Linked DNA regions of Neodiprion lecontei. The protein of the gene in region 2 interacts with the protein of the main gene of each other region in a biochemical or structural test. Links are inferred from orthologs where the notes say so. Each region holds a gene or a part of one and is shown on either strand. Other genes may lie near its edges. The genes, in order: protein arginine N-methyltransferase 6 and high mobility group protein HMG-I/HMG-Y.

Evidence for each region.
Region 1: of the proteins of high mobility group protein HMG-I/HMG-Y (region 2) and protein arginine N-methyltransferase 6, one has a biochemical effect on the other in vitro, tested with the Homo sapiens proteins (2 studies listed by BioGRID, with this or other methods). The link is inferred for Neodiprion lecontei from reciprocal best matches to the Homo sapiens genes HMGA1 and PRMT6.

What each region holds. Positions count from the first base shown.
Region 1 is NC_060260.1:29,298,816-29,304,080, forward strand, and holds protein arginine N-methyltransferase 6, read right to left. Parts: upstream 3,188-5,265; 5' UTR 3,014-3,187; coding exon 2,960-3,013; intron 2,800-2,959; coding exon 2,685-2,799; intron 2,548-2,684; coding exon 2,181-2,547; intron 2,016-2,180; coding exon 1,502-2,015; 3' UTR 625-1,501; downstream 1-624. Other genes in the region: lysM and putative peptidoglycan-binding domain-containing protein 3, read right to left, coding at 167-216; uncharacterized protein LOC107220128, read left to right, coding at 5,228-5,265. UniProt on the Homo sapiens protein: Arginine methyltransferase that can catalyze the formation of both omega-N monomethylarginine (MMA) and asymmetrical dimethylarginine (aDMA), with a strong preference for the formation of aDMA.
Region 2 is NC_060260.1:24,417,269-24,423,077, reverse strand, and holds high mobility group protein HMG-I/HMG-Y, read right to left. Parts: upstream 3,914-5,809; 5' UTR 3,762-3,913; intron 2,541-3,761; exon of another isoform or gene 2,159-2,540; intron 1,797-2,158; 5' UTR 1,760-1,796; coding exon 1,559-1,759; intron 1,382-1,558; coding exon 1,259-1,381; 3' UTR 595-1,258; downstream 1-594. Other genes in the region: tRNA-dihydrouridine(20a/20b) synthase [NAD(P)+]-like, read left to right, coding at 4,865-4,941, 5,054-5,251, 5,389-5,809. UniProt on the Homo sapiens protein: HMG-I/Y bind preferentially to the minor groove of A+T rich regions in double-stranded DNA. It is suggested that these proteins could function in nucleosome phasing and in the 3'-end processing of mRNA transcripts.

The DNA.
Region 1 (5,265 bases), about 4.9 Mb from region 2:
AGAGAATTCACAAGAAACTAGCATGGAAAAGTTCATATGTTCCAATTGAAAAATAGTTATTTAGTAATATTAACGAAGTATTATGTCCATTGAATAATTAGATATCAACGAAATATTGGATAAATCATCTTGGGATAAACATAACCTTGAGAAGAACGTCAGTTACCTTCCCGATCTCTGCCCATCATTTCCGTTACTGAGTGATATTTTTCGCATCTTTGTTAATATTACGATAACATTTCACTGTGCTCACTTGATTACTACTTGTTGTTCGCAGTATTGAAATAACTGACTACATTCCATAACCTTTCAAGTAAAAATTATAATTGTCAGCTGTTTTACTTTTTTTTTCTTCTGCAAATGTCATTCATATCCAGTCGGTTCTCTCCATGCAAATAAAACAAGCGTACCATTATAATCACGCCGATTGACTGTACGCCTAACGGCAGGCAACTAAACATACGCGTATGACGTAACACGAGCTTTTTTCAGGAGTAATGGTAAAAAGAAATCCGACAAATTCATCGTTAAATCGACAATCTATGCGGGATAAAAACTCAGGTAGACACGTACAGACTAGAACGTAGTACTGTCAAAGTGTGCAGGAAAATTTATGTATTACACCATTTTTTCTGAGCACCCTTACTTCAATGGGCACAATTTATTTCCAAATTATTTAAAAAATAGTTGGAAGTAAAATCCCATGTACAAATAGTAGTCTTTAGATCCGGCTTTTATACCACATAACAACAAATACTACAGAATTATTTGTATCAAAAAATGGCTTACTTAAAATTGCAGACATCTTTAATAAAAGTTACATAAAATGTATCTGAAATATTTAAACAAATATAACAATTGAACATTCTATGTAGGTTCATATCGGGTAGAATCTCATTCCTTACTATCTAGTGAAGAGTCTTCTATGGTTTTGGGTCGCAAGCAAAAATTGATTCCCCGCAAATCACGATTGAAGGATTTTCTGTACTCTACTCGATTCGCTTGAAAAATTTACTGCACACAGTTCAGGTTGTGATAAAAGTTGTGGTATAATTTTTAGCTGGACATTTTTCTTGCTTGTTTGTCGGTAGAAAATGATTGAAAAAGAAAACTGTTTCAATTTTCAATCCAATTTTTGCGATAATTGATTGCCAGTGAACAAAATCAAACGCCCAGCTGAAAATTATAGCACACTTTTTTAACAACTTGAACTGTGATCGGTAAAATTTCCAAGTGAACTGAGTAGTCCAAGGAAAATTCGTTCAATCACGGTTAGCGAGGAGTCAAGAATTTATGTATGAACCCAACACTATGGAAGAGTCTTCACAAGATAGTAAGGAATGAGATTCTAGCCGCGCGTCAAATTCGATGACCATCCGTTGAAACCCGTCCCGTTTCGCGAGAATTAACCCATATGCTTATTCACAAGGAAACTTGCATAAGCAAGAATAGATGCAGTATGGTACTTGAAATCACAAAACATGTGACTTCGTAGTAAAAATTAAGTTTCTCTACCCTGGATATCTTCCTCTGGATGTTCAGAGAGATAAGCTTTTATTACTAAACACTTGGTCATATAACAATGACAGGGAATATCGTGTTCGACGTTTTCTGGGTCTAACTGAGTATATTCCACATTATAAATTCTTGGTTTCAAAGAATCCTTACGGAGTTCGAGCTTGAATGCTACTGGTTCATCTTTCGTTACCGGAATATCGTGTGGGAGTACTACAATACTTTGTTTCCAATGAGTTGATTCATACTCTGGACTAGTCGATAATTCCGAACCATCCGGAAATGTAACGGAAAACCATACGCAAATGCCCTGATATATTCCGTTCCGATTGCACGGTACGACCGTAGATTCACCACCGAGACATAACAATTCTGGCATAGTTGCTGTACTGAGATCCAGCCAAACAAGCAGCTTTCCATCCGTCAGTAAGTTATTTGCCTCTAAAGACGAAATATTTGGCTTTTTAGACTTCAAACGTCTCTGTTCCCGGCTGACAAACCTATTCAAAAAAAGTAAGAGAATTTTAAAACGAAAGGAAGGCTTGAACATGCTATAGTCAGAATGCTGACAGCCTGTTTTAAACTCGTGATGGCATCTATAGAATCAACCAGAAATTAAATACTAATGTTGATAGTCGACCATGCTAACAAATGTATTTCCTTACTCCATACTGACTCCGTATACATCGTTCCAAAAATCATACACAGTGGGTAATTCGCAAGGAGATGCATAAAGTTTGGCCTCGTTAGGGAACATGAGTCCATTTTCTTTCAAGAATTGATCTCTGGCCACAAGTACCGAATCCAGCATTCCCTCGTGCATCAAATGAAATCCCATCCATTCAGAGACTATGATATCGACTTTGCCGATATCATCACTCTTTAAATCTTCTACTTTACTGTGAATCACTTCTATGATACTTTCAAAACCATTTTCGCGAACTACTTCTTTTGCTACTTGTGCCATGTGGCTTGCTTCTATAGCATAAACTTTTGCAGCACCTGCTTTGGCACAGAACACCGATAGTATACCTGTTGAGAATCATCAATCAATGCAGATATTACTGGTAAGACTTCACTTGTGTCTAAATTTTCGCAACTAAAGTTCTTTGCATAATTAACAAATCGACTTCATTAATTATTATGTGATAAAAGTGTTAACTTCATACCCGTCCCAGCACCAACATCCATTACAATTTTGTTCTGAAATTTATCGCTACAAGCAAATATTGCATTTTTGTAAGCAAGGGTACGAGGTTTATCCTCTAGCATCAGTCGATGAACCTGTGGAGACAAGCGCAATGAAAAAAAACTACCGTCGTCAGTGAGAAGTCAGTAGGAAATGATCGACAGGAGGATAATAATATTAATTCAAACAATCAATCATTTCCTTTCAAACTGTCTCCATCAGTAAATATCAATAGTGACGTAAGTGAATGTTTACTTCCAGATCCTCGTAACTCTTGAAATATTCATCTGTTGAATCGCCGGTGTCCATTGTTAAATTACGTTCTTTGTCAATCTTCCTAAAAACTAAAATTACGACGATGTATGCTAGGCTAACTCTTGCACGTGACACTCATAACCTACAATTTTCGGAATGTCGTTGTCAGCCACGGTGTATACAAGATTTAAAGAGTGCGTGCGTTACAGCCAAGAGACGTCGTGAAGTGTGCGGGTTGTTCTCGGAAACGAGGAGTATTGAGTCTACGCGCAAAAGGCGCAGTCAGACTTGATGGATACGTAGCGATTATCAAAAACAAATGACTGCGACTAGATCCAAAAATGCATCCAAAACAGGATGAAATTTTATCATATTTTCTCGAAGACTGATTCAACGATGTTTTAGTGGTAATGTACGCAATGTAAGAATAAATGTTCTAATAAAACAAAACCAAGCATCTGAATCATCTTGATAAGTGCAGCTTTTAACCTAGTACCTAAAGAGTGCCTAATTGTTACATTATATCTTAAAATCGGCGTTTCTAATATAGCTTTGCTAATACTACGCACGGTGGAAAGTACAGAATAAAAACATACACTTTAGAATATACCTGTGCAGCCATAAATTATGTATTAGAATCTATCCTGATGCGATATCACAACACATTGACACCGATTCAGTATAAATTGGTTCGATGAAAATATATTCTTACCCAAAAAGAGCAGGGGCGTACCTAATTTTTGTCATCTCGCCATTTGAGCTCAGCGCCTGCAGGATGTCACTCTTGATCACTTTGATGCACTTACGGCTGCATCGAGCCGGCTCCTGAATTTGATGTATGTATATTAAATGCACTGGATATTCACATACACTTTTCACGATCAATCTGAACGCACAAACACACTCAAGCGGGTAGCTCACTATCACTATTTTATTATCCGTAAACACGACACTAAGAAAGTTCAAAGATAATTACCTCGAAAAGTTACACAAGAATTACGAATTCGACCATTTTCAAAATATCACAAGACTGAAGTTAGTAACGTTACCGTAATGAAACATTGCGAAAAAAATCAGTATTTTTTCATTTTTAAACTGACTGAAGGAACGAAAATTTCAGTATATGAGTATGTTTTGATTTATTATGGTTTACTAAATTTCAAACAATTTTCAAAATCACGAAGTAACGGTTTTTCCTCGACATGAATTGTTCCGATAAGGTCACTTATAACTTCAACATGGTAGAAGAGTAAACGTGTAAGACATTACACTGAATTTTAATCGCCAGTACGAATCTAACGATCACGGTAATAATTTCGTAGCAAAAACGTAGAGAATCTAGTTTTATGTTAGACACTTTGGGTAAGCTCCAAACGCTGTGACAAAGCTAAACAAGTCTATATTTCTGAGAACGCGAATAGGAGAAAACAACTTCTTGATTACGTCGCGTCGCAACAAATAGGTAAAACAATTGACATATTCAACGCGGTTGCAGTCACTTGTTTAAGATTGTCGAAGTTTAGTATGCCTTACGCCGAGTGATTAAACAGCAAATTTATCCACTCACGACTGTTATGTCAACCGATTAAAGGAATCTACTCGTAAGAAAAACTTACACCTAATCATAATACCGAGTTAAACATGGTTAAACGTACCGGGACACGGGTCAAGCACGCTATTCGCCAACATTCGACCAGTTCCACTTCCATGATCAACTATCACTGGCCAGTGGGCGTCGCGTAATGGCGGCCGAGCTCTCAAGCGCCGCTAGCGTGACGACGGTGATGCTCAGAACTAAATTCGATGTTGTTTTCTTTCGTTGACGCGTTTAAAAATGGAAAGCATTTGAAAATTGATTCAAGAAACAGAGTTCTATTTTCTTGACTATAATTCTATCTTTCGAGTTCTGAAAGCAGTTAATGACACAGTAAATTGATATGTATTCTTTGGTGAATTGTTAATAACTCTGGCAAAGAACATGTGCCATCGTATGTATTTATTAACGTATTCAAAGAATAATTGAATTTACTCCTCATGTTAGGTTAATTTTCTTCCTCTAGTATTTTTCGCATTGTCGTTCTCATCCTCGGATTTTTTTTTCCTACATGCAACAACAAAGTGAAATTGCAAACTGTTATTGGTTCAAGAAAGATACGAGTTTGTATTCTGTGCAACTAAGTCATTGAAGAATTATTTGAAGGAAGGAACCATACTTTAATTATATTTCCGCCAATTGAGAATCAACTTTTCCATTATTCTCCTATTTTCATGCAGAAAATGGGACCTGTCAAGGAAATCTTGGAAAA
Region 2 (5,809 bases):
CGTGATATAGATCGTAAAGTATTTTAGCACATATTCATCACACTTGACGTTGACACGTTTTTACTCAAAGCGATTATTAATTATAATTAGTATTATTTCAGTTGCTTAAAGTAACGAAAAGTTTTACTTAGTAGGTACAGCATTAACATGTAAATGTATAGTAGCATTAATCACTGCTACGTACAATCAGCCAAAGATAATCTAACTTTTATATCGTTCGTACATATATTGCAATATTATGAATATCGAAGAATACAGCGTTGGCACTGTATGAATAAAAACTATCTAGTCCATAGCATGTAATATAGTGAAATCAAATGTAAACGATATCTGATTGCCTATTTCAAGTAAATCAATTTCAGTATTATCTACTAATAGTTTATAGCCCACATTAATTATGTAACTTACGTATCCTATTATGCCTACTTATTTTTGCATAATAAAATGCACAAATGATTTCCCCTAGTTATTCTCTGTAGTTAATTCCTGCATGCAAATCCTTATGCAATTAATTACTTAGGTACACAGGTCGAATATAAACTCCCCAACACAAAGAACGGCGAGGACTCCTAAAAAGGAATAAATTATTACAAATTATTTTGTTTATAGTTTATTTAATACAAATTTGACATTCACACAATGTATGTTTAATCAGAAATAAGATTTTGTTTGACATTGTAGCAATACTTTCTACATCTTTTCACATGGAAAGTACTCCACCAGGTTTACGGATATTTAGTGATTACGAAGTTAGTTGCTTCTTATATTTCGGAGCAGAGCCATTTTTACTTATAATATTAATATATAGAAGTGCCATAAGGTAATATAATCGTATTTGAAGATACTAAAAACCATTGTTTAAAAATGAAATTGGGTCGTACAGTACAGATGAACCCGGGCTTGGATGCCTAAAGTCTTAAATGTTTGTTCACATTTTCAATATTTAGTAATAAATCAAAACGTGTCTAAATACTAAAAAATACATTACATACGGTTTATACAAGTAGTGTTCTTTGAAAGCTTGGCTTCTCAAATAACTTCTGTTAGCTTTTTCATTTTCTCATTTTTTTTTGTTTTACTTTTTTAAAACTTTTTCTCTCTACCTCCTTTTGTTATTAAATTCGGAATATTATGAATTTCGGTGTCACTTGGTGTGAGCTTTCAACAAGTTATGGAATAGTAAAACTTAAAATAAAGGAACGAGGATTTTTTTCAAGGGTATCTGAGAGTGAATCAAAGCTAGGGTGACTCAGCTACTTCAATTCTCCTCTTCCTCTTCCTCCTGTTCATCTTCTTCCTCACCAGTGCTTTCTGGCTTTTCTTCTACCTTCTTCGGTCTACCACGGCCACGCGGCGCAGTTGCAACTTTTACTGCACTAGCCTATGAAAGTCAATGACGAATTTTCATTAATTAAGAATATTTGGATTGGTATGAATAATCTTGAAATCTAAAAGTAATTTTGTAACACAATAACATGTTGCGGATAATTGGTTATAACTTGAAGGAGTATATAAGAATTCTAGTTGCTTTGCAGATTTTGCCTTGCATAGTTTATACCTTCTTCTTATGCGTTCCCTTTGGGCGCCCTCTGCCTCTTTTGACAGGTACTGGGGCATCATCGTCATCGTCAGACTTCGTTACAACGTTGTTCTTTTCCACTGGCGGTCTGCCTCTCCTCTTTGCTTCTTTGACAGGGCTTTTTGCTGGACGACCACGCTTCTTCTTATCTTCAACAACCGGTGAACCGTCGTCTGACATCTTTATTGCTTTGTGGAATGGACTTTAAATCAGCAATCTGAAACATTTCAGTGCACATACGGTTTTAATAACTTCCAAACGTTCGGTCATCGTTAATAATTAAAAATTCGGACGCAATCGTCGCCAAGATTGTTTCAATAATCAAAGTACTCATAAATTGCATTAGATACTAATTAAATTGTACGAATGTTAAGTACTGTGAAAATGGCATTCTGGTATGTTCAAACAATCAAGAGTGTAAAGAATGATTTTTATCGGGAAATTATCAACAAGATTTTTGCTTCTACTCATCATCATTGTACAATAATACACATAAAAATATTCTTCAGCATTCAATTATGAGATAGACATCACATAACATGACATAATTTGTTAATATATTTGAGAAATGAGCGAGGTCTTCTTGTTATACTTCCTAATCAAAATTCATCAATTCTTAATATCACACAGTCGTTTACAAGTCCAAATATTAACTAAACGAAAATTCCGTATTGAAAGTAGTTGAAAATAAGCAAAAGTGAAGTGATGGTCAAAGTGTGAGAGAAGAGTTCGTGGTGTATGTTTCCCCGCCCATCATGATCGAAATCATTAACAAGATAATTGGCAATCAAATTTGCCCACTCTACCACAGTAGCTCTTCAACCTTCCACAAAATGGATGCAGCGCTATGGTCGGCATCAATTAGAATGGCGCCATGTCCGTAACGCGTACTACGCAAAGTAACACAGACTACTATTTATACCTTCGATGAGTAGCCGGTTCCCATCATATTCATCTATAGGTAAAGCGCTAAACATACCCGTACCTCGTAAATATACTAATAATTCAATCCACTTGATACTGGTGCGCAAAAGTAAAAAAGAAAGGTCTTTCGGATTGTTTACATATTTTGTAGTGACTACTTTTCAAGATGGCGCTTCCCGCGGACGCAGGAGGGAAAATGACTCTGGCATCCCTGTGGCGTCCCTCCAGACTCGCGTGTATAAACAATAATGGAATACATTCGATATGACGTCACTCATGCGGATATATCAACTTGCAGGATGAGTTTTATTACGATATGCGCCGTTAGGATTCTTTCGCACGATTATTTCTTCCAAATTTTGAATAAAATTGTTGAAAAAATCGAAAGCTACAACGAAATAGTCAGTTGAATCTCGTGAATATCCCCGCCCGATTAAGTGATAGGCAGTTTTCTAGATTATTATTTTACAGGTTGTTTCACGTATTGAAGTGGAAAGTTTAACCCGTTTTTCGCGATAATTAATGAGGTTTACAGTGAATACGCCGATGTTAGTGGTATCTATCGATTTTCACAGCTTCTACCACTGAACCTACCCCTGCAAAATATCTTTCTAGAAGCGCGCGCAACGGAGGAAAGCTAGGTTTACGTCGTATACACAACTACGTACCGAAGAAAAGTAGAATCTTCAGAGAAAAGTCGTCACCAAAGTGTCGTATTTGTTGATTTTTGACGATGCCTATTCACCGATTGCAGTAACAAGTTTGTAAACACTATGAAAAAATTGACTTTCAAAATCAACCGTGTTATATTTTACAAAAATTCCGCGCCCGCCATTTTCAAAACGCTTTGTTTAATGCGATTTATGTATTTACCCGATTGAGCCCACCCTTTGAACGAAGCTTCGAACGGAATTAAAAAAAACAACTTTGCAGCGATAAATTTTTACCGAGTGATTTTTTCCTACAAAAGTTTCAACAAAGGTCAGTCCAAAGATACGTTCACGAAATTGCGTGGAAAATAATTCAATGAAGGCTTGACTGCCGAGAGACGCCATAGCTACAAATGGCATCACCCGTACGCGTTGGTGAATTTTAGATTTCAATTAATATCTCTGCTAGTATTATAGCCAGCGGTAAACAAAAATCTGAGTAAAATTAAACTAATAAACTAAGAATTTTTGCCGATTTTTGACCCCCCAAAATAAATTTATCCGAGTAGAAATAAAATATTTGTAGAGAAAACGTAGACGGGACTTACCTCAGGTTTGCGTTGGAGACAAAGGCCTGCGCGCGGGACGGGGCTACGGGAGACGCAGTTGTGGCTGTGACGTCCGCGGACCAGGCTGAGTGAATGACTGCAAATGTTGCCGCCAGGTTCTCCCCTGTCTGGGATGCTTCCCGCCAAAAAATTACCTCCGATAGAAAATTCATTTATTTTTTACAGGGGATATTTATTGCCGTAACAGTATCGATACGTTAGTAAAAATGTGATAAAAATTTTCTGTAGGTTCAATTTTTTATAATAAAATTTACAAAAAGCTTTATTCCCACTTCGCCAAATGTAGACCGTGGTCGTATACACCCGCCATCATTCCACGGCGAGGTTTGGATCGATTTGCTTGTGTTAAACCCCCTGAAACATTTGAGGTGAATTAAGAATGACTCCTTTTTACAACTTACAGCTTTATCATAACAGCACACTCAAATGGATAAGTGTGTCAAAGACTTTAGTTTTCTTTCAAGATCCGTTATTAAATTAGAACGGTTATGTTATATGATTATTTCATGAACGATTCCCTCCGACATATGATATAAAACAGACTGTGGCACCTAAATAGGAACTATCCAATTTATTTTTATTCATTCGAAGTATTATGAAATATTAATAATGGAGTAGCTATTGTTATCCAAGGATCAAATATTACACAGTTTGTAATGACATCATACTCGACGTGCCTCCGTGGCGCAATTGGCTAGCGCGTTCGGCTGTTAACCGAAAGGTTGGTGGTTCGAGCCCACCCGGGGGCGGTTATTTTTGCATTTATATTTCAGTTTGTTTAATCATCGGGAGAATTTTTTGAATTTTTAATGAATGTGAGAAAACAGCGTCAAAGCATTGAGTAATTTTCGTCGGTTGGTTCGCTTCAAAAGCTGCTCATCTTTGAAGGCTTCTTGATAACATGTATTATTCTGATCTGTAGGTAATGGTAGAGGCAACAGTAAACTACTACCGGTTTCAAATATATCAAGTCGGTCGAATACATTTGAGTATTTTTCAATAATCCCTTCTGGAAAAGTCAGTCGCTATACTCATTTAAAAAAACAATTGGCTTGATTTTCAAGTGTTATTTGTAATAAGAAATGATGACCGATATTCTAGAACTGTTACAAGAACCACGAATGACGAAAGTCTGCGCTCCCATGGTTAGATACAGCAAGTTCGTAAAGTTGCAATCGAGTAAAAACAAGAAGTTGACATTAACCTCATCTGACGGACAGCTGACACTGTGAGGTCGATATCGTTGTAATAACGATTTAAACCATTTACAGATTGCAATTCAGGACATTGGTTCGCAAATACAATTGCGACTTATGCTTCACCCCGATGATAATGGCTGACTCTTTCGTGCAGTCTGCAAAGGCCCGCAACAATGAATTCACTACACACAAAAATGACATACCACTGATCGCTCAGTTTGCAGCAAAGACAGTTGGTGATTTCGTTGGAGCAGCTGAAATGGTCGCACCGTAAGTATTTACAAGATTGTTATGATGAAAGGATAATCCTAAGCTCAAAATGAGAGATTTTGTACAAAGTGTGTAAGAGATAATAGGGTTCATGTCTTTGTTCACTGCATTTACTTGAAGTTTTTATTTGTCAACAGGTATGTTGGTGGGGTGGATCTAAATTGTGGATGCCCGCAGCGGTGGGCTATAAAAGATGGCTATGGTGTGGACTTGTTAACTAAACCTCAACTAGTTAAAGACTTAGTACTACAAGTTCGAAATCGAATACCTCATCCTTTTACAGTGTCCGTCAAAATTAGGTTACTCAAAGAAATTCATAAGACTGTAGAGTTTTGTCAGACATTAGAGAAAGCAGGTTTATCTTTCATCACCGTTCATGCGAGAACACCACAAATGCGTAACGAATCAATTGATCTTGAGGGGTTGAAACTTGTCAGAGACTCTATTCAGCTACCTTTGATTGCTAATGGAGATGTTAAAAGTTTACGAGATGCAAAATATATGTATGAAAATGTCCAATGTCAAGGTGTCATGTCTGCAAATGGAATTTTGACTAAT